Rhinolophus ferrumequinum: one gene and its partner. The protein of the gene in region 2 interacts with the protein of the main gene of each other region in a biochemical or structural test. Links are inferred from orthologs where the notes say so. Each region holds a gene or a part of one and is shown on either strand. Other genes may lie near its edges.

Region 1 (11,555 bases), about 60 Mb from region 2:
GCCAGCACTGCAAAACATCTCGCAGTAATCCCATGAATACTACACATTCCCTGGAGGTGAAAAGGGTTTACCTCTGCAAAGCAGTGACCTTCAGGGCAGAGAGAAGTCACCAATCATGAGGAAAAGACAAAACAGACGTGGATTACAGAAGAAGGACAGAATCTCTTCCCCCCATGCTCGGCCCCTGAACCCTCCCAACAGCTCATCCACCCAAATTACGCGCTTCTCCAAGACTCGCTGCAGGAGACGCCCCGGCCTGAGTCTCCCTTCCCTCTCAGCACAGCGAAGCGGTATCCTCCTCCCACCCACGGCACCTTCCCGTACCCCTGTGGGACTTCTCCCACTTCTCCCGTGCTCCTTTTGTCTTCATTACCCCACCTCAAGCACCTTTCCAGGACAGCAGCGTCCTGGAGTTGGGCTAAGGATTGCACACACTGGCGCTTTCTCCTGCGGCTTATGTTTAGTAGATGCTCAGGAAGTGTTTGCAGTGAATGTTTGCTACTGGCAGAAAGGGGCTCCCATCTTCAGTTGGAGAGACCTGTGCAACTCTCCTAAGAAGCTGGCAAATGTTCATTCATTCCTCTAGCTGAGTCCACTTAAAGTCTTTCCTCTTAGTTTTCTTTTCATTTGTTGTTTTTAATATAAGAGACAACTACTATGCTATGCAAAGAGGTTTGGAGAACGGGAACAATGATTGTTCTAAAAAATCACACCTGAACTGGTTAAATAGTAACTGATTAAGCTTCCATGGATTCCCAAATATAAAATACAAACATTACAGCAAAATCTGTAACCTATATACTTCTTTCTTACATATTATCCTCAAAGTAGCCCTTTCCCTGGTAAATGAAGAAACTAAGGCCTAGAGAAATAAAGTGATTTACCAAGGTCACAGCCTTTACGTTTACGTTCTACAAATTGAAGCCAGATCTGTGGACTCCGATCCACTGCCTCTCTTCCTGCCTCTCTTCGAGTAAAACTGAACAATAATTGTAACACTTATTTAATAAGGGAGGATAGATTGGTATTTTTAAATGTATCTGCTTTGCCATCCTAACAGCTAAATTACTTGTTTCCCAAAATAACATTTTGCTTTTGGCTTGTCAGACAAACACTAGGCGGAACTGTCAAGTCAATGAAATTGTCTGCCCTCCCCCTCGGCTGCTTCATCTTTCTCTCCTTCAACTCTCCACCCTCTCTCTGCCCACTTCCTCCAACCAGGTGCTCCTGGGGATAGGTCTGAGTAGAGTCACACATTTGGGACTACCTGTGTCCCCGAGCCTTTGTTTTCATTTATAAGATGCAATGTGGCTTCAGGTTACTGCGGGCAAAGCAGTGAGCAGTGTCTGGTACATAGAAGGTGCTCGGTGACCACGCTCTGCACATTCCCTTCCTGCCCAGCCCCATCCCAGCTCCTATGGACTTGAGACGGAGCTCCGCGCCACTGTGGGAAAGTCGCTATACCGAAGTATCTGTTTCTTTAAGGCACCCCAGGACCCTGGGGACTGAGCTGGCACTGCCACCCACCTGGTGGGCTCTCCTGGGCTGCGGACATCAGGGCTGCCCTGACCCCGCTCAGTTTAACTTGTTTCACTATTCCAGGGAAAGCGCAAGAAAGGTACATTTCCCAAGACTAGATATCAATTTGAATTAATAAAGACAGAGCTAGTTAGAGTCTGAACCTCAGCCCTTCCATAACATTTAAAAATAAAATAATTAAAACCAAACAGACTCAACAAGTAACATTTTCGTGATTGACACATTCTAACGTGGATTTCAGACCTTGGCGTTGGTATACCACATTCCTCTGCAAATAAGTCGGAATAAGTCAAGTATCAGGAATTCTGAGAAACAGTGATCTCTGATTTGGGTTCCAGTCTCACTTGAGGGATTATGGAGCCAAAAATCACTTTAAAACGCTTCATTCTGGGGATGGTAAGGGAACGTGGTCACTATTCTGGGTCTAGAGCCAGAGTCCCACAAAGCTGCTCCGGTGGTACCTACCCCATGGCAGCGTGTGGTGTGGAGGAACAGCAAGTGTTTACTTAAACTATTAATTGAGTACACATCTTGTCGAGGAAGTTTTTGGTTTTTTTTAAAAGGCAAAAACACAAGTGAAGTGTGTTTGCCCCAACAGCCAGCGAGGACAGCTTGCCTGGTGTTAGGACAACACAGACTTGTGGTCAATGGCAGGCAGAAAGCCCCTAATGGCTGGAAAACGCTGGCCTGGCCTCACACTGTCGGGATTTTGCAGCTCTAGGCTGGGCCCTGGGCCCTAGCGAATCATTAGAGTCTTCAGCACATTCTAGAGTAAGATCATCTGTAGAGATTCCTTAGGAAATGTGACCGGAGTTCTCTGGCACTCCAGCAACTGGGGTGTGCTGAGGACACTTTGCATTTTTCTCTGGTCAGTTGTCAGCTTTTCAACGTGCTCTTCTGAACTAGCACATTCTGCGGCCACCATGGCACCAATAGCGGGCCTGCCCTGAGCCGGCCACATAGCTTGCCTGCATTTCCTTGTTAAATCATCGTGAAAATGAATTGTGTCAACTGTTTATTAAGGCCTACTGTATGTCAAGCAGTTTTAGGCACGAAGGAAGCAAAGTTAAAAACACAGGATTCATGAAAGTTCTCGAGAACTTGTAGTCCAGTAGGGAACAATGGTATGTACATGTGTCTGTATCAAAACCAGACTTCCTTTTTAAAATGAACGTGGCCCTTATGCTCTCAGGGTTGGGCTGTGTGTATGGAGGGGTGTATCCACACGGGAGGACCATAAACATCGTGGACAAGCTGATGGGGTCCCCCCAGCACCCTCCTCCCCTGACATTCACGTAGAAAGAGCGCTGTAATGTATAAAGTTTAAGCCCTCACTGATTGCTGACAGCATTACAGGTTTGCTTGGCAAGAACTGCTATCCCCATTTTTCAGTTGAGAAAATGGAGACTGAGAAATATCAAGACACCTGCGCAGCCCACAAAGTAGTACCTGAATCCGACAGAATCAGGATTATAAGCCAAGGCCTGATTCTCACCCCGCATTCCTCTTCCCACTGCTCTGAGGCCTCCCAGGAGGAGGAGGGCTGCTGTGACATGGCCATGGTTTGACCTCCCCTTGACCAAGACGCTCTGAGGGTCCTCCTACCTGTACTTGAGCTGCTGCTTTTGGCTCCTGATTTTTTTCCCACCTGTATCTCCATTCTGCCTTTGCCTCCAACTTCCCATCTCAGTGACAACATCTGCTTTCCCCAAGCCAATGTTCTCAGACCTGCAGCATCAGAATCACCTGGGAACTTGTTAGGAATGCAGGTTCTCAAGCCTCACCATAGACCTCCTGGATCTGAACCTCCGGGAGGGGCCTGAGCAATCCGAGTTCCGCGAGCTCTCCAGGTGGCGAGCTCTCCAGGTGAAGACTGCTGCATCCGGCAGCTCAGGAGCCACCCTGACCTAAGCGAACGGGCTAAGCATCTTTAGTCTCTGCTGCCCCACCGTGATCACCTGGCCCCGGCACACGCAAACTCTGTGACTAAAGAAGAAAGCCATTTGTCTGGTGCTGAGCAGCCGTCACAATGCAATCACACGCAGCCAAGCTCTTCAGGGCTGGCTCAGGCAGAAGCTTGACGCCGGGTCAGAGGCTTCCTCCTTCTGGCCTACTTTCCACGGAGGCCCCACTTCTCAGGTCAGCAGTGCAGTGGCCTTTACCTTGACCCCTTTCCACCTCATCAGACCCAGCTCTGGGCTCTTGGGCGAGGAGCCACCGCAACGGTACGGCTCTGTCGATACATGTCTGTGTCCCTTAACTATGAAATGCAGCGAAGGCTCCCAGCTTTGTTCCAGGCAGCAGGTAAGGCTCACTCCATCTAGATTAAATGCTAACAATCAAATACGACCCTCATAATTATGCTACTTTCTATAATTTATAAAATTCTTTTGTAACTCTCACAAGGATCAGAAAAGCTAATTTTGAAACTGGGATTAGAACCCAGGACTCCTGTTTCATTCCCTAAGGAACAAGCTACTGTAATATGTCAAACATTTAATAAGTTCTTGTTAGTAATTAGTGGAGCTATTACAAAACAGTAAGTTCTGGTCACTGTGTAAGGGCACAGGCCCCATGTCACCAGAGCATGTTGCCACATGAAAAGAATGTCCTTTGCACAAGCCTAGTCCATTAGAAATAATGCAGGAACATGCTATTAAACAAAGAATAACTTCCTGGATCCAAAGCCCCAAGTTATAAAAAGGGCCACCTTTGTAGCCCTGCTTTGTGGAAATCTGATGATTCTCTCATCTACTTCCTTGATTTTGATGGAAAGGTCTCTAGTTTCCTCTTACAAATAATGGAAAGTGGTTACTCTATCAACATTTAATGTCTGTAGCAGCAGCATGGAGGTTGCCTCACAGTCACTTCTTTGACCATCGACATGGTATTTATGCTCAGTTCTAAAATACACAGAAATTCCTCTTGAGAAATGAGAAGCTGTCAGAGGTTAGAAACACACACACAGATACACTCTCTTCCATATGTTCCAAAGACATGGAAATATGCACACGCATGATCAGATAACCCTCCCATTCCACCTTCTTATTTTCATGTCTTAGAAACTATCTCTGTGGGAATGTGGGAACATCCCTTCCCACATTCACACCCAGGGACAGATTCCCGGAGAAGAGGTGGAAGAAAGAGAAGCAGTAAGATTCACAAAAGACTCTAATTTGGAGCATTAATAATAGAGCAGCTGAAAAGCTTGCAAAAGCAAAGAAGGGCCCTGTTAACAAAACATTCAGGGCACTTCCCAGAAACTGGCCAGACACAAGATTGCTATTGACAATGAGGAAAATCAGAGCCCGAATCAAATCTCAACTGAGCAGACAGATGTGCAGAATTCGCTGTTACGATTAGCATTTTTTAAGAGAGCAGTAGACTCCATGAGTTTGACAAAGGAAGAAAAACAAAAGATAGCCAGAGACTCATTCTGGATAAACAGTTACCATTCTGTATTCACAACTCTACATCAGCAACAGCACCTCAAGTAAGGCACAAGGTGGGGTCCTCTGCAAATTTGCACACCATCATACCAATTATCCATGCTGCGTTTGTGCATGCGGTAAACACCTTGGATCTGCACCACCTCTGTGCCTCCCACCCACCCCGACTGGGGTAAACCCCACCAAATGCAGAGAAGAACCCCTTTCTGTCTGAGAACCAGCCAGAACCTAAGCTGGCATTACACAGCAAAAACCTACGAGAACAAAAACCCAGCGGCAGACTGATGTAGAAAACCCAGAGCATACCTGAATTCTTCAAATGCGAACATGACCTAGTCAGAGACAATTTCCTTAGATTGTCTGGTAGCCTTTTTGGTTTGGAGGACAACCATTTAGTCAGTCAGATGGTGCAAAGTGCAGGAAAAAGAGGCGGGGTTTCCACACCCCCCAAGATTCTGAAGTAAAAGGCTTTCTGCAGACAGGGGCCTGCAGCCGCCAGCTCTGCCAGCTGCTGACAGGCGGCAGCTAACAGGGGAGGCAGCACGAAAACCATGTGATCATTCCAGCAAGTCTGATTAATGCAGTGTATGCTTAGGCTCCAGGCTGGGAGCTGGATTAGTCCAGGGAAATAAGTGGAACCTCGGGCACGCCTGGGATCCTCGGTGAATCACAGAACACATCCCACCTCCACCCAGAATTCTGCAGGGGGGCAAAAGCAAAAAGGAATGAGAATGCAACCTGTTCTACTGCGGTCTGCCTGATTACCTCATCTTCCTGTGGCTGCTGCTGCTCTAATGACCAGGTATGACCACCGTGGTCAGCGAACATGGTGTAGTGAAACCCAGCTACACTGGACTGAAAATTCTGCAGAATTCTGAATCTTACCCATCCCTACCAAGCATTACTTTATCACAAACGCATGAACTGCTTTGGAATCACAAAAGTCCCATTTTATGCCCACCTCTTTACCATGAACAACGTGACCTTCTAGGTCAATCGTGATGGCTGATCTCATTTATTCAGTTATTCATTTATTGAGTGTCTAATAGGTACCAGGGTCTTATCAATTCCTTGATGTACAAAAATTGCCGTAATAATTTCAGAACAGAAGTTTAAAAAAAAAAAAAAAAGAAACGAGATGTCAGCCAAAAAAGGGAAATGTTTACCAGTTTGTAAAGCCCAAGCTGGCAAGATCTGGCAAATGAGCTGCGACTGCATTCTGAACTTGCCATTAAGAAGAGTCTTTCTCATTTGGACTGCAAATCTGTATAAAACAAGGGAGGCAGATCTTAAATAAAAACCTGTGAGTCACTCTTGACTTTTTTCTCTCCCTCATACCACAAATATAATCACTAATTCTGATTCTACCTCAAAAAGGTTTCTCTGAATCTGACCCTTTCCCCACGCCCACCAACGGCCTGAGCTCACACCTGCAGCATCATGCCTCCAGCATTTCTCACTTGGTCTGCTGTGTTAGCAACTGGTCTTTCCATCCCTTCTCTCAAAACCTGCCAGAGCAATTTTTCTAAATCTGATTTTCATGCCCCCTATTTGAAACCTGCATTAGTTTCTCAATGCCCATAGGATTAAGTGAAAATGCCTGAGCCCAGCATACCGAATCTGACTTCTCCAACTCTTTCTTCCATTAAAACTCTTCACAAACCCCCAAATCTAGCCAGACAGCCCCAGTTCCCTAAATTTGCCAGGACCTCCTTTCTTTGGTCCATGGGCCAACTGCCCAGATTATCCCTTGCCCCCTACGTGACCTGCGCCCTTCCAAGCAGTGCATACTGTTCCCTCGGCTCCGTCCCCAGGACCGTTAGCCACTCGCTCTCCCTGCTGCCGGTGGCACCGCCTTACAGCATGCTGCGTGCGCCCCACGCATCTGTGGTCCTTGAGGACGCGGGCTGCGGGAGACTGTTTCTGTATTTCCAGTGCCTGGTACGGAGCCTGACAGAGGTTCGCTGAATGAACCTCCTTCTGTGCAGCTTTCTACCAGGGAGAGTGACCTGGTTCTTGTATGAGGTGCTCTGGGATGACCGCACCCCTTTTCTTACGTTACCTCTATCATGAAGAGAAGTGAGAGTCCAGAACTTGCCGCAAAGAAATGAAGCGATAATGGCCAACTGAGGCGGACTGATTAGTGAGAAAGAAATTTTGGGGAACCCCATGGTCCCTCACACCAAATAGCAATCATCAACTAAGAGGATCCAGAACGTCTCCCACAATATTCCGCACAAGTCTCTGCCTGAGACCTTCTAGGGGCAGAATCATGGCATAACAGAAAACACAGGAGTCAGCCATTAACTAACCCAGGCTGAAGTCCCAGCTCTGCCTCTGTGATCACTGACAAGCAACGTAGTCCCGAGCCTGGGATTCCCCAGAGGTACATCTGGAATAATGTGGACACTGCCCACGCCTCTGTCACAGAATGCTTGTAAGGACCCCACAAGGTGGGACAGTGGAGTCGTGAGCGGTCTTCATCACGTACACAAATTTTATAGGAACATTCTTCCTCCCCTTTGTTACTTCACAAGCCGGTCTCCCCGGGCAGAGCTGATAGCTGCCGGCTCTTCGTGCTGAGGCCACCCGCCTCCCTCAAGTGTTCTGTCTGCCCGTTCACTGGTCGCTTGTTTACTTTTGTTTTTTTTGAGCGGAAGAGGAGCAAGGAAGGTATTGCTGTCCTGTGATTCTCAGGACAAGGGATGTGTGGATATGTGTATAAAATCACTGTCCTAAATCCTAAGTTAAAAAATAAAGCACTGGAGCTGACCTAAGTCTTGGGAAGAACAACTCACCCACACCAAATACAATTATATGATGTTTTTATTTATTAAACTACCTGGGGTTAGTCAGATAAGTGGGGTTGGGGCAGCTGGTTATCAACCAGTTGCAAGCTTCCCGAGGGCAAGGAGACACTCAGTATTACGTGATGGGTTTGCTGGTTGGTAGAAAGGCCAAAACCTCCATTCCTGGCACTCTTTGCAAGGTATGGAGAGGAGCTGCAGGGGTCTTAACTCCCAGCCGTCTGGCCCAGTGGGAACTGGCCTTTCCCCTGGCCACCAGGCAGGCCCAGTGTGACCGGCCTGGTGGGACGGAGAACCTCTGGACTTTGTGCCTTTCTCTACCAGTGACTCAAGAATCGCCTCTTTCAGGGCCATTCAGAAGGGAGAGCGCAGAGCGGACAGAAACGGTGAAAAATCTCCAAATCCTAGCACCAAGTGTATTTTAAACAGAATTTTATGAGATCCCCCAATTTACTAATAAGGTACTGGGTGCCAAATGGTTAAGTAACCTGGCCAAGGTTATATTGCTATTAAGTGGCAGAGCAATGACTTGGACCCAGGTCCAAGGTTTTTAACCTCTGTGCCCTCCTGGCGTCCCAATACCAATGATCCAACTGCCCCAGGCTGCCTCCCTGAGAGACTGCCAGGCAGCCTGTGCCTGACAGAGGGCTGGGACATGATCACTCTCTGGGGTTCTTTCATCCTGCTGGACCCTGGCTAATCCCCAGATTTCACGGCCAGGCAAGAGACCGCTAAGGGCTCCAGAGAGCCTCAGCTGCCCCAGGAAGGAAGGGGTGGAAACCTGAGTTGACATAGTCTCAGGACCAGGTTGGGAACTGGGTCTGCTTCCAAGGCTGGGTGCTCCCATGTGACCTCTTGATAACCGGTAACACCAAAGTGTTAGGAATAAGGACATAAGTAAGGGTCCCTGACTCCTGACCACTCCACGCCTCACTCAATGGCACTCCTGTGACCACACAGTGTTGGGAAAAAAAAGTCATCCCAGGTCGTCCACCAATGACTCAAGGCTCGGAGAAAGCATGTTGCTACTCTGGGACTTGTGTGTCCTTTGTCACTTTCAAGGAACAGCCAGATATTAAATTTTTAGCCTTCTGTTTTCTAAAATACCACTTCCGTGGAAGGTAAAGCTGATAAGAACAGAAAACGGATCCAAGTAGCCAATTCCGGCCGAAGGAATGAAGAGCCCGAGTCCCTGCTGCCGGGTCTCCTCTCTCCCCAGCAGGGACAGGCCCTGCCGCAGTGTGCAACCACCTGGCCTAAGTGACCTGGCAGCTCGTCAGTGCCAGCACCCAGGGCCTCGCCAGGCTCATGTCATCACACTCAGCCTAGTTAATCTGGACTCACTCCCTCTTTCTAGTCTCATCCTAAGCACCAAAGCTTCCTGACTAGGCCCTGCTGCCATCTGGGCCTGGCCTGCTGCAGTTACTGGACGTGTATGCTGGCATCTCCAGAAACAAAACAGATACTGAACAAAAACATGATGGTGAACATGAGGTATCCCCCGGCCCCTGACAACTGGGGAAGCTAAATGAGAGGGATGTTTGAAATCTATCTGAAACAGTGCTCTTAGCTTAACAGGTTCAGCAAGCAACGTCTTTCCCCATGAAATGGTCAATTTCCCACAAAGGTGAACTTCGGATTTGTCGGTGCCAAATCCTCACCCCAGCTCGTTTGGAGGCTGATGGTCTGAGAGTGTAAATCCCTGTGGGTTTGCCTCACAAGCAGTGTCTCCTCTCCCACTGTGTTTAGGCTGTAGGCACACAGCCCTGACATGATGTACGTGCAGCAAAATAAAGACGGAGCAAATGAAGAGAGTCTAATGTTCCCATCAAGTAGAACAGAAACGCTCTTCTGACACTTACAGAGGTGCACGCGCACTGCTGAGCTGTGTATAGACAACCAAGAGGAGACTTAAATGCAAATCAGTTACAGTCATGACTAAAAATACGATTCTTTCCTCACGGCCCATCCGTGGGTTTTTCCAACAAGCAGGGGGCCGAGTGGAGGTAAGAGGCACTCACAAGTGTCCTCACTGGAGCCTCACCTCCAGCACCCTAATTAAGACTCCCCTCACCTCCATCTTCCTGCCTGCCTTCCTCCCTGTTGCACACAGCCACCTGTCCTGGCACCTTCCAGTTGAAACCCGCAGAATGAAGTCTCGCCCCCAGCCTGGCATTCAGCTCCTCCACACACCTCCCACACGTGCCAACCAGATCCCCACTGACCCGGCACACTTACTCACGCCACCTCCCCTGTTCCAGAGCTTTCCTCCTTCCGCCTTCTCTCCACAACGGTTTGGAAAGTGTGCTTCTGAATCCAGTTCAACTGTCAACCTGAGAAGCTTCGGACAAATTCTTACCCGTCTAAGCCTCAGTATCCTAATCCGAAGACGGGATCACAGCACATCTGGGGGTGCCCCAGAGGTGACCCCCTGGCACACATGAACCACCATCGACAGCAGCTAACACTGTGGCATATGCTTCAAAACTCCATCGAGTTCCCCTCCTAACATAAACCAGCCCATGGTGACCATGACAACTTCAGAATGCCTGAGAGGCAATAGATATATATTTTTAATCTCACATATCGGCCTGGGCTGAGGAGTAGCCGTTGTCCATTACCTGTCTCAGGCCTCTAACCTGCTGAGAGTCGCTGAGGACAGGCACGGAGGGGGCCGACAGAAGGTACCTTAGGAGTTTAGTTCCTTGTAACCTTCATCTGAAATATATAAACAACCTAAGTAAAAACAGCATGCTTGCTAGGCAAAAATACAGCTCCTAGAGAAATCCATTCTAATTCTGGGCCACCACCCCCAAATTCTTCTATTTTGAAATTATGGGAAGCCCACTAGCAGTGACCTTTGTTTTTAGTCCCTTTTAAGCCTTCCCAAGGCACAACACATTCCTGGGCACACAGTAGGTCTCTGGTCAAAACCTTTTTGAATTCAGTGAATGTGTTTTTATTCCAGTAGAATTAACATTTCCAAAAATTTTTAAATGCTTCTTGAATCAGTAAGAAATGTGTGAGTCCTACACTCTGAACTAAATCTTTTCCCCAAATTACATAATTCAACTGAACTTCTAAAGTGATATTTAACTTTAAAATAAGTTTTAAATTAAGCCATCCCTTACTTCTATTAACAAAAGCTACCCCCAAAAAGCGTTTTATCGTAAAGCAAACACAATTACGACACATTTTCAGTTTACCCCTCACTACCCAAAAGTAGGAGTTCATCGATCATTACTTCTGCATTCCTGGCTACACCAATGCCTCTCCTCAAATATGCACTTTCTCAATATCTGTACCTGGTTATTGAAAATTATCCTTGCTTTCACTCAACCAACACTCAAAGAGTTACTATGTGCTAGGTACCACTCGAGGTGCTGCACAGAGAGCCCTGACGGCCAAACCCCTTAGTTCTGCGGTGCTTCCATTCTCATGGAGGAAGCCAGATGCGGAGTAAGAAAAAGATGATAACATAGGGCAATATGCTAGACAGTGCGTGGGGGCTACTAAGAGGTGATGACAGGAAAGGCCCCCGCAGGTAGTGACATTTAAGCTGAGATTTGAATGACAAGCAGGGGACAGTTAGCAAACATCAGGGAAAGGTCACTGCAGGCAGAGAAGACAGCTGGCGCAAAGGCCTACGGTGACAAGTGCGGTTTTCGTCCCTCTCATACAGTGTGGTCGGAACAGAGAAGTAAGGAGGAGCAGAGGGAGACGCAGACAGGCTTTCTCAGCCAGGAAAGCCACTGTGGAG
Region 2 (10,778 bases):
TGAACTGGGTTTAAACCAGTAACTCCCAAGCACTGAGAATAAACCTGTAACTCTCAACCTTTTATGACTGGGACGCTAAATGAACTTTGAGACCATGAGTCCTAAAAGACCACTTTAAACCAGTACTTCCCAATGTCTTCCACATAAGCACACCTAAAAAATAATATTTTTTACACTAAGCTGGGATAAACAGATGAGGCTGCCCCTGAGCTGAGGGAAGCACTACAGTAGCGTATCAATACCCTTTTTGTAACACAATGAATAGAACCAACATTGAGAATGGGGAAAGCTACTTTGGTCAGGGGCTTACATACCACTACTCAAAACAAACTACCCAAAGGCACCTCTTTCTCCCTATATACAGTCAGCTTTGGTTTTATCAGCCACCAAAACCATGACTTCTGAGAGAGTATGAGTTAATGGGGGAATGTGTATGAGTTAATGGGGGGATGAGTTAATTTGGTGGTCAAGGAAGGTTTGGAAGACAGGAGAGAATGGTATCTGCCCCTAGAAACCATGCCTGCTATTAATAGTTAAGCAATACACATGTGTGGGTATCAGGATGCTCATGACACCTCAAGTTATAATTCTGAACTCTCTAATGTTTATCACAAACCTGTTTAAGGAACTTCTGGAGTCTTGAAGCTTAGTTAAGGATGGGAAGAATATGTGTAAAGAGACAAAAGAATGAAGGCTTTCTCTGCTTTCCCTCCTACTTCTTTCAGCCCATATCAGATTCACTCACACTGCAGTTTCTGTAAAATGGGCAGACATAGTGCAAGCCTCCATCCAGCTCTGGTGCTTGATGTTCTTGTGCAGAATCCTGAATTGGAACTTGGCTCTTGTACCTTAACAACTACAAGCCCTTCTCCCTGCCCCCCATGACAGCTGTCTTGCTAGTAACTTCAGCACAGATCTGGGTCTTCCTATCCCTACATCACCAGCCCAGGCCACTGTAATTCCCTGGACAGTAATTTCATACTTAGGACAAACAGACCAGACTCCACCATGAGGTCCTAGGGCTTCTTAGTTTCTGACAATCCAGGTCTGAGAAAGAAAAGTGATCAAGTAGAAGGAAAATTCTTGAAAAAGAGATCTGAGCTAGCTGTATCATCGCTCCTCTTCAGTTTGCTCACATTCTCCCTTTGTCTAGAACAAACTTCCTCTTTTCTTTGCCTAGTTCTCTCCTTTTTCATCCTTCAAGACTCAGCTCATGATCACCTCCTACAGGAAGCCTTCCTTCCCTCTCGACAGGGTTGTTTATCCCTCCATTCTGTGACACCAGCGTACACTGCTAGCATGCACATTACTGCGTGGTAGGGCACAGCTGTGCTAGCTCGGCATATCATGACATGACTCTCATCAGTGTAGGTGTCTGTCCTCCACAACAACCTGGAAGCTTCCAGAGGTCAGGCCATGCTCTATTCCACTGTGTACCCCGTGTTTAGCCCAGGGCTTGGGACAAAGGAGGATGTTTGTTAAAGTGGTGCCTCTGCCCGTAACATGACCACCGCCACAGCACCAGGAGTTTGTAAGCTGATTAAAGGCAAGTCTCGTTTTCTTTATCATTGATGCCCTACCATCACCCACTTTAGCACTCAGCTGGCACGGGAGTTTCCACAAATAGCTGCTGGATAAATATTCGTGGCAGAATTCTATCCTTAGCTTATGCAGGAGTTTGCTGGGCTTGTGTCCTCCTTCCAGGAAGGAGAGTGCACAGTCGTCTCTGACAGCCCCATTAACCCTCGTGCATATTTACTGTTGGGCTGTACCGCCTAGTGGACATTTAGAAGCCTCTGGATACAAACCTGTCTGGGAGCATTTGGAGGCACCTGAAAAGGCAGAAGAATGACCTCTAGTGGTCCTTGCTGGCTTTGTTGGTCAACGAAGAGCACTTTCAGTGGGAAAAGATGCAATAAATTCAAAAGCTCTAGTGTCTAGAAAGAGTGCTTAATAATATAGGAGGATTCTGGCAAGCACAACAGAACACATGGCCACAGAACTGCATAGGAAATATTAAATATACCACTTTATTATTGGCAAAAATACCCATCTAGTATAGCAGCAAATAAAATATATTTTATAAATGTTGAAAAAAAAAAAAAAGACATCTGCCCAAAAATGTTTAGTGACTATCTTAAGCCGTTTCACGGGATCCTTGACAACTCTTCTGAACTCTAATTTGGGTCTTGACCATAGGTAGTAAACCAAGGGTTTATGCAAAGGTTGTGATTTCTCCCAACAGGTAGAAGAACCTAGTCCAGCATTCTAATTCCCAAATTTGCAACTAAGCACATACCTCTAATCGTGAAACAGGTTGTGGGCCAAAGCTCTCTTCTTCCACTGAAGTGTCTGCATTTGCTTCAAGCTGCATCTGCATAGCCATTACTTAGTGTTCAATACTGAAAAATACAGATGGCCATCAGAAGAACACAAGAGAAAGTACAGAGCTATAAACTTAGTTTTGCAATAAATCTCCGAAGAATTACTTGCTAGGCTTTTGGTCTAATCACTGACCTACGCATGGCAGGAAAGAAAAACAAATCTCTCCCCAGTTTTCCCTTCCACCTAGCTAGTTGTATCAGAAAAACTTTAGGAACAGCCAGCACTATTTTGATTTCTAAAGCTTAACTAGATCAACTATGTCCCCTGTTTCTTCCTGTTTCAATATTCCTTGAGGGTAGGGGCCAAGTCTTATTTATTTGTATACCCCCCCCATGATACATTATAAACGCTAGATGTTTGGGAAATATTTGGTAAATGAATGCAGAATTTCCAGGACTCTACATAAATTAAAAACAAAATGATGAAAAGTTAAACTACTTCAGTTCCATTGTTCTCTTCCAGCAAGCGGGATTTGGGGGTGGTGGAAAGGAGTGAAATAAAGGTACAGAATGACTGCCCATAAGCCTCCATTACAGAAAGAGAAAGAGTGGACTAATGTTAAGGATCCTAACTTGTAGCTTCTAACAGGAGTGTATGAAATTTAAAGATTACCATTTTAATTAATTCCAGATCTCAGTGAATGTACAAATGAATGAATAAATGACATGCAAGTACCCTGCTCAGTCTGAAATCTTCCATATAAGCGTAAGGCCTATACCTAAAGTCTGGTTATTATGATAGAGTTAAGATCGCTCAGACTGAAAAGAACTGAGAACAAAAATTTTTAAATTAACTTCAAGAGGTATTATTAAAAGTGAACAAGTCATAATGTCCACAAGAATGGACTTATACTACACCAAAACAATCTGGACAATTTAACAATAGGGATAAATTTAACTCAAATAAAATCTCCATTCTTAAGAGACTTGACAGAAGATGACTATTTTTTCTTGATTGGTTCAGGTACAGATCTCTTAGATGGCAGATTTACCATAATGTGTCTATGATAATTCCAAATATCTAAATCACCTGAATGCAATTTAAATCTAAATCTCTCCCTTCATAATTTATTGAAAAGATAGCACAGCAGAGTGGAGAAAGGCTGGTCTTTTCAATAAATGGTGCTGGGTTGATTGGATAGCCTTATAGAAGAAAAAAACAACCCAGAAAAAAATCAATTTCCAATTTAGATTACAGGTCTAAATGTAAAAGGTAAAACAAAGCTTTTAGAATATAGGCAAATATCTTCACGACTTCACGATAAAGAGTTCTTAAACTTAGAACTTCTATCCATCAAAAGACACCACTAAGAGAATGAAAAGTAAAACTATAGTGAGGGGAGAAAATATTCACCACATACACAACCAAGGGTTAATAACCAGAATATATAGTAAAGAACTCCTCCAAATCAGCAAGAAAGATAACCCAAGAGAAAAACAGGCAAGAAATTTAAATAAGCACTTCACTACTAGGAGATATCAAAATGGCCAATAAACATTTGAACAAATACTCAACCTCATTAATCAGGAAAATTCAAATTAAAACCACAAGATATTACTGTATACCCACCAGAATAAATTAAAAAGACTGACAATATCAAGTGTTGGCAAACATGTCAAACAACTAAACCCTCATACTTTGCTGATTTTAGTGGAAACTGGTACAGCTTTGGAAAATGGGCATTAAATGTGAAAGTTGAAGACAGACAAATGCTATATAACCCAGGAATTTCACTACTTTGTATTATTAACCAAATGAAAATCATTCACATTGCACCAAAACGTACATAGGAATGTTCTCAGCAGCTTTTTTCATAAAAGCTAAAAACTAGAAACAACCCAAACGTCCACCATGGGTAGAATGAATAAGGAATACAATATAACAACAAGAAAAAACTACTGCTATATGCAAAAACCTGTACTCATCTACAGACAGAATGTTGAGTAAAGCCAGACACAAAAAATATAAATTATATAGTATTATACAAAATTAAAAAACAGGCAAAATTAGTCAACGGTCTTAGTCGTCAATACCGTGGCTGCCTTTGGGAAGAAGGGAGAATATTAAGGGGGCACAGAGAGTCTTCTGGGGGTGCTGACAGCATTCTATTTTTTGACCTGTGTGGTAATTATGCAGGTATATTATGTAATAATTCATGGAGCTGTATACACTTTTGTCGCTTTTTCTACATGTATATTACACTTCACTTTAGAAGATTTTAAAAAATCTACAGCTCACTACGTATCATTCCCAAAGTATCACGTGAACGGTCTTCCGATTAGCTAATGAAAATCTTTTTGGCAACTGGAGGTTGGTACTTTGTAAACGAAGTATGGTGTAACGGAAAGAGGCTGACCAGAAATCCGGAAACCCTGGTTCTAACATACGACGGCTGCAATTTTACTAAGTCATTACATCTCTCTGGATCTCGGCTTCCTCGTCCACCGCCATAAAACAGGTGTTGTTAAGGAAAGCCTCAAAAAGGTTCCTCTCAGCTCTAAAGACGGGTCGGCTACCGTTTTCGCCACACCGAGATCCAGGCCCGGGCACGCCCCAGCCTCACTTGGCGCAGAGCGGCACCCTAAGTCGATTGCGGGAACACGGGCCCGGGTGCCGGGTCCCTGTCTGGCTAACGCGGGGATGAAGCTGGCGATGGAAAGGGGCCCGGTCAGCGCCTGACAAACTCACCTAGGCCTGCAGCGTTACTCGTTCCGGCGGACTGCGCGCTCCGACCTGTCCGCTGGCCCAGCGCGCGCCCGACCCCGGACGGATTCCAGACCTCTCGCTTGCACCCCACTTCTCTACTCCCTTGCTCTGGCCTTCTGCACACAACCCAGGCGGGTTCCAGTTCCCAACTACGCGCTCCGGGGCACAACTCAGCTTCCCTCAGCACTCAGTCTCCTGCCGCAGCGCGCCACTGCCCTATGGCTTTCGGAAATCCCGCCAAACCCTACAGGGCAGGGTCACGTCTGCGTCAGCCTAACGTCTCCCCGCCCCTCTCGGATCCGCCTTCTAGCTTGTTCCGCCAATGCTCGCGGTCCGGAGATAGGCCCAAGGAGCTTGACCTTGCAAGATATTATGGATTACCCTCTTCCTTTTACTCGTAAGGACTAATTCAAAACTTCGGAGTTGCGGCCTTCTCATTACCAGATCGAGAACTACAACTCCCAAGAGATAGTGGGGTCGGCCCGAGACTACATCTCCCAGTATGCACCGCCGGCGGACGCCGCGGCGGTAACTCCTCACCCTCTCGGAAATAACCTGGCTCCTGAGAGCTATTCTTGATTAACTTACGTATCTAAACTTGGGCTTTTAGATGTGCACGTCGCTCTGAACCTCCGACTCATTCAAATTCCCGGAGTCAGGCGCTTTCCAGGTCCCTGGAAGTGATGGAGCTCAGGAAGCTAGAGCTGATGGATGAACTGGGAAATCGAGGAAGTAGAGGGGAGAAAGCAATGGTAGTCAAACTGTGGTACTTTACTGGAGATTTGCAGGACTCCAGAGGAAGGAGACATTGATTTTGAGAAGGTAAACCTTATCATGGCTTACTGGAAAAATTTGATAAGTGATTCCGGTTTTAAAGAGTGAATAGGATTTCTCGGCCGAAGAACAAGTGATGGAAGGCAAGCAGAGCATTAAGGGCATGGAAATTGAACAACGTGGTCAAGGAATATTATTGTGTAATGAGGAAGGAAAAGTGTAAGAGGTGATGAGACTGGAAAGTTACGTTTACTTTAGGCAATGAAGAGGCTTAAGACCACGTATGGAACTTTGGCCTTTATTCTTTCCGCAATGGGGAAATCATTGAAAGTTTTTAAGCAAAAAAACCCGTAAATATCTGGGAATAAACTTTTAGAAATGTTCAGGACCTACATGGAGAAATACCTAAAACTATGTTCCGAGAGGAGAAGGCTCAATATTATAAACTTGAAAATTCTCCAAAATCAGTGAACTCCCAGTAGAAATCCCAAAGGGATTTGTGGCAGTCACTATTTGTTGCCTACCCAGTAGTCATTGCCCTTCTTTATAGTTAAGAGATCCTTAGGGAGGATGCTCACTAAGCTTTTGAATGACTTTGCCTTTATCTGTATTCTTTGACTATTTGGTATGAATTGTTTTGACTTTATGATGACAATTTTAAAATTGTAACAAAAATACTAAATGCCTTGAAATAAACTTAAGAAAATTGCAGGAGTGGCTGGTTCATTCAGTGGTTAGAGCACAACGCTCCAAACCCCATGGTTGCCTGTTTGATTCCCACATGGACCAGTGAGAAACATTGGCTTGAGCTTGGAGCTGATCCTGGAAAAACACACTGTTCCCCAATACTCCCCAATAAAAATTTAAAAAAGAAAATTGCACATCCTAATGAAGGAAACTTTAAGATATTAAAGAAGGCTACAACACAAAAAGCATACTTTAACCCTATCTACTTGTTATGGAAGACTCAACATCTTAAAGATGTTCTCCATTAGTTGATCTTTAAATTTAATACATAATCTCACTAAAAATGCCAACAAGTTTTTTTGGGGGACTGAATAAGCTAGTTCTCACCTTTATATGGTAAAATAAAAGGCAAGAAGAGCCAGGAAAATCCTGAATAAAAAGGGCCTGAGCCAACCAGATATACAGGATATTATAAAACTACAATAATTAAAAGTATTCGTAGACAAAAAAAATTAAAAATAAATAAAAGTATTTGAACAAAAATAAATAGGTAAATGGAACAGAATAGTTATCCTGGTATCTTAGTTTCCTATTACTGCTGTAACAAATTACCACCAATTTCGTAGCTTAAAACAACAAAAATGTATTATGTTACAGTTCTGGAGGTCAGAATTCCTAAATGGGTTTCACTGGGCTGAAATCAAGGTTTTGGCAGAGTTGTATTCCTTCTGGAGGTCCTAAGACAGAATCTGTTTCCTTGCCTTTTCCATTTTCTAGAGACATCTGCATTGTTTGGCTCAAGGCCCTTTCCTCTCTTCAAAGCCAACAATCACTCTGACCTCTGCTTCCATCATCACATTTCCTTCTCCGACTCTGATATCCGGCCTCGCTCAGAAGGATCCTTGTGATCACATTGGGCTCACCCAGCTAAACCAGGATAGGCTCTCAATGTTGAGATCCTTCAAAACATCTGCAAAGTCCCTATTGGAATGTAAAGTAACATTCACAGGTTTAAGGAATTAGGATGTGGACATCTTTGGGGGGTGGGGAGAAGGCTATTAGTCTGCTTACCATGCTTAGATATATATACGAATACATAGAGAAATTTAGTATATGATAAAAAAGGTATTCCAACGTGTGGAAAGAAATAGACTGTTTGTTAAATGGTGCTGGGATAACTGCATAGTCATCTGGGAAAAATTAATTTGGACCTTACCAAACACTACTTTATGTTAGGATATATTTCCAACTGGATTAAAGATATAAATGTCAAGTATTAAGCCACAGAAGTTCTAAGAGAAACCATGGATTTTACAGTGGGGAAAATCTAAGTATGTCACAAACCCCAAAGCTATAAAAGAATATATTAATACACTTAATTATATATCTTTAAAATTCTTAATGGCAAAAACCCATCATAAATAAAGTCAAATAAAATGACAAATGGTGTCTTGGGGGGGTGGAATTTAGCAACCTGTGTCACAAAGGTTATTTCCTCTTATAGTTAAAGATGTCCTACAAGTCAATGAGAAAGATAAACAGGCAAAGGTTATTAACAGTACACAGGAGGTAAAAATTGCTCTAAAATATATGTAAAGACTGTCAACCTTATACATAATAAGAGAAATGCAAATTCAAACCATACAGAGATACCATCAAAAAGTTTGGAATATACTGTGTTAATAAGTTTGGAGAGGAACCAGGCACTCATTTGCTAGTACCTGAGTATTTTAGAGGGCAATTTGGTGATAGCTATCAAAATTACAAATGCAACTAGGCTTTGACTCAACAGCTCCATTTCTCTAGGAAACTATCCTACAGATAAACTTACACTATGTGAAATTTCAGTATTGCTTACAGTAGCAAAAGGTGATAGACAACCTACATATCTATCAATAGAAGTATGATACATCCATCCGGTGAACTACTATTTAATTAAAAGGAAAAAATATGTGTTGGAAGTTCTTTATGTACTGATTTGAACCTATCAAGATATGTAGTTAAGTGAAAAAGGCAAAATGAAATTTCATGTGTGTTGATGTGTATTATTTGTGTAAAAAAGAAGATATATATGTATATATGTATGTGTGTATATATATATATATACATATTTTAAACTTTTATTTATTTTAAGTGTGTTTTTCCAGGACCCATCAGCTCCAAGTCAAGTAGTTGTTTCAATCTAGTTGTGGAGGGCGCAGCTCCCAGTGGCCCATGTGGGGATTCAACTGGCAACCTTGTTAAGAGCACCCGCTCTAACCAACTGAGCCAATCGCCACCCCCAAGAAATACATATTTATACACTTAAGCAAACATTGCATACATGTTTGCTTTTGTACATAGGATAGCTTTGGTAGGTTAGATAAGAAACTGGTAACATTGGTTCTCTCCAAGAAAGAAGCTGGGTGTCTTCAGGCAGAGTAAAAGCAAAACTTTTTACATTCCTTTTGGTACTTTTTGAATTTTGGACCATGTGGATGTATTACCCATTCAAAAACTAAAAATAATACAGATTCGATCCAATTTAAAAAAAAAAACACAATAAAAACTTTTGTGACAATTTGTAAAGGATGGGGGGAAGATCAAGAGCAAGAATTTGGCATCAAAAAACAGTTGCAAGAAGATACACCCTTACAGAACAAAAGGGATTCATCAGACTTCCCCAAAGCCTGGATGAAATATCTCTTAGAAAAGATACTATGTCTAGTTATTTGGCCACCAAGCAAACCAGTTTTCACTTCCAATTTTTTATTTTGAAAAAAATTCAAACCTACGGAAATGTTGAAAGAACAGTGCAATTAAACACCCATGTACCCATTACCTAGATTCATCGATTATTAACATTTTGCTATATTTGCTTTTTCTCTCCTTTTCTCTCACATACACACAAACACACATATACACAAACATTACACATATATTAATAGTTTTTAAAAGCCATTTGAAATTAAGTTGCTGACGTATTTCCTAATAAGGACATTCTCCTATATAAACCATATCATTATCACACCTAAGGAATTTAACATGGAATATTATCTAATACACAGTTTATATTCAAATTTCCAAGTATCCCCAAAATACCCTTTATTGGTTTTGTTTTTTAATAACGGATTCAATTAAGGATTAAGCATTGCCTTTCTAAAGTGTCTTTAGTCTCCTGTTGTCTAGAGTTCCCCTGCCTGTTTTTGTTTTGATTTTATGACTGATATTTTTGAAGAATCCAAGCCACTTTTCTAGAAAATGTCCCACAATCTGGATTTGGTTACTTACTTTTTTTTCCTCTCCCCTTCTTCCGCCTTCCCCCTCCCACTCCGGATCAAGCTGTTGTTTCTCAGTTTAGTTGTGTAGGACACAGCTCTCTGGCCCATGCTGGTATTATGAGCCTTGCACTCCCCCTGGCTGAGGCATTTGGTTGCCAGTCGTCGGTTGGCAGCTCACAGCAGCTCTCGCTGGCTGCCAGCCACTCATGCTGGCCACCGACAAGGTAGCCTGCAGCAGCTCACAGTAGCTTACGCTAACGTCCAGCTGCTCACAGCAGCCCAGCTCCAGGGAGAGCTGTTGTTCACAGTGTAGCTGTAGTAGAGGGCGCAGCTCACTGGCTCATGTGGGAATCGAACCAGCAACGTAGGTGTTAGGAGCATGGCACTCCAACCACCTGACCCACCGGGCTGGCCCCGGTTACTTACTTTCTCATGATTAGATTCAGGGTAAACATTCTTAAAAATAAGAATACTGTATAGATGATATTTGTCAAGCAATCTAATCTAACTAATAATTACTATTTCTAATCTAATCCTTATTAATTTAACGTCCCTAGTACTCTGACAAAATAAGAGTCCTTGGGTAGCAGACATGCATTGTAAATAAATGAACACCTTTCCACAAGTATATGTCCCCAAGTTCAGCTGAATACAATTTTGCTATGGATCCTTAAGACTCAGTCAGACGTGAATTTCAATCAGTATCACATAAACTCAATAAGCATCTAGTTTTCCCATGAAAAATTTATGTGTATGTTTTGTGAGGTACTAGCTACCATTTATTGAATACTTACTTTGTGTTGCACTTTATATATATGAACTCATTTAACCCTCACTATTACTATGACGAAGTACTACTATTGTTTTACAAATGAGGAAAGTAAAGCTCAGAGGTTGATTGCAGCCAGCAATTGTCACAGAAAAAACTAATCCAGAATGTTTATAAACAGAAAATTGTAACAACAT

The links.
Region 1: the proteins of RAD51 (region 2) and EVL form a complex in vitro, tested with the Homo sapiens proteins (2 studies listed by BioGRID and IntAct). The link is inferred for Rhinolophus ferrumequinum from reciprocal best matches to the Homo sapiens genes RAD51 and EVL.

Annotation. Positions count from the first base shown.
Region 1 is NC_046289.1:4,348,149-4,359,703, forward strand, and holds the start of EVL (ena/VASP-like protein), read right to left. Parts: upstream 5,601-11,555; 5' UTR 5,318-5,600; coding exon 5,295-5,317; intron 1-5,294. UniProt on the Homo sapiens protein: Ena/VASP proteins are actin-associated proteins involved in a range of processes dependent on cytoskeleton remodeling and cell polarity such as axon guidance and lamellipodial and filopodial dynamics in migrating cells.
Region 2 is NC_046289.1:64,419,984-64,430,761, forward strand, and holds the start of RAD51 (DNA repair protein RAD51 homolog 1), read right to left. Parts: upstream 5,324-10,778; 5' UTR 5,074-5,323; intron 2,403-5,073; 5' UTR 2,387-2,402; coding exon 2,300-2,386; intron 1-2,299.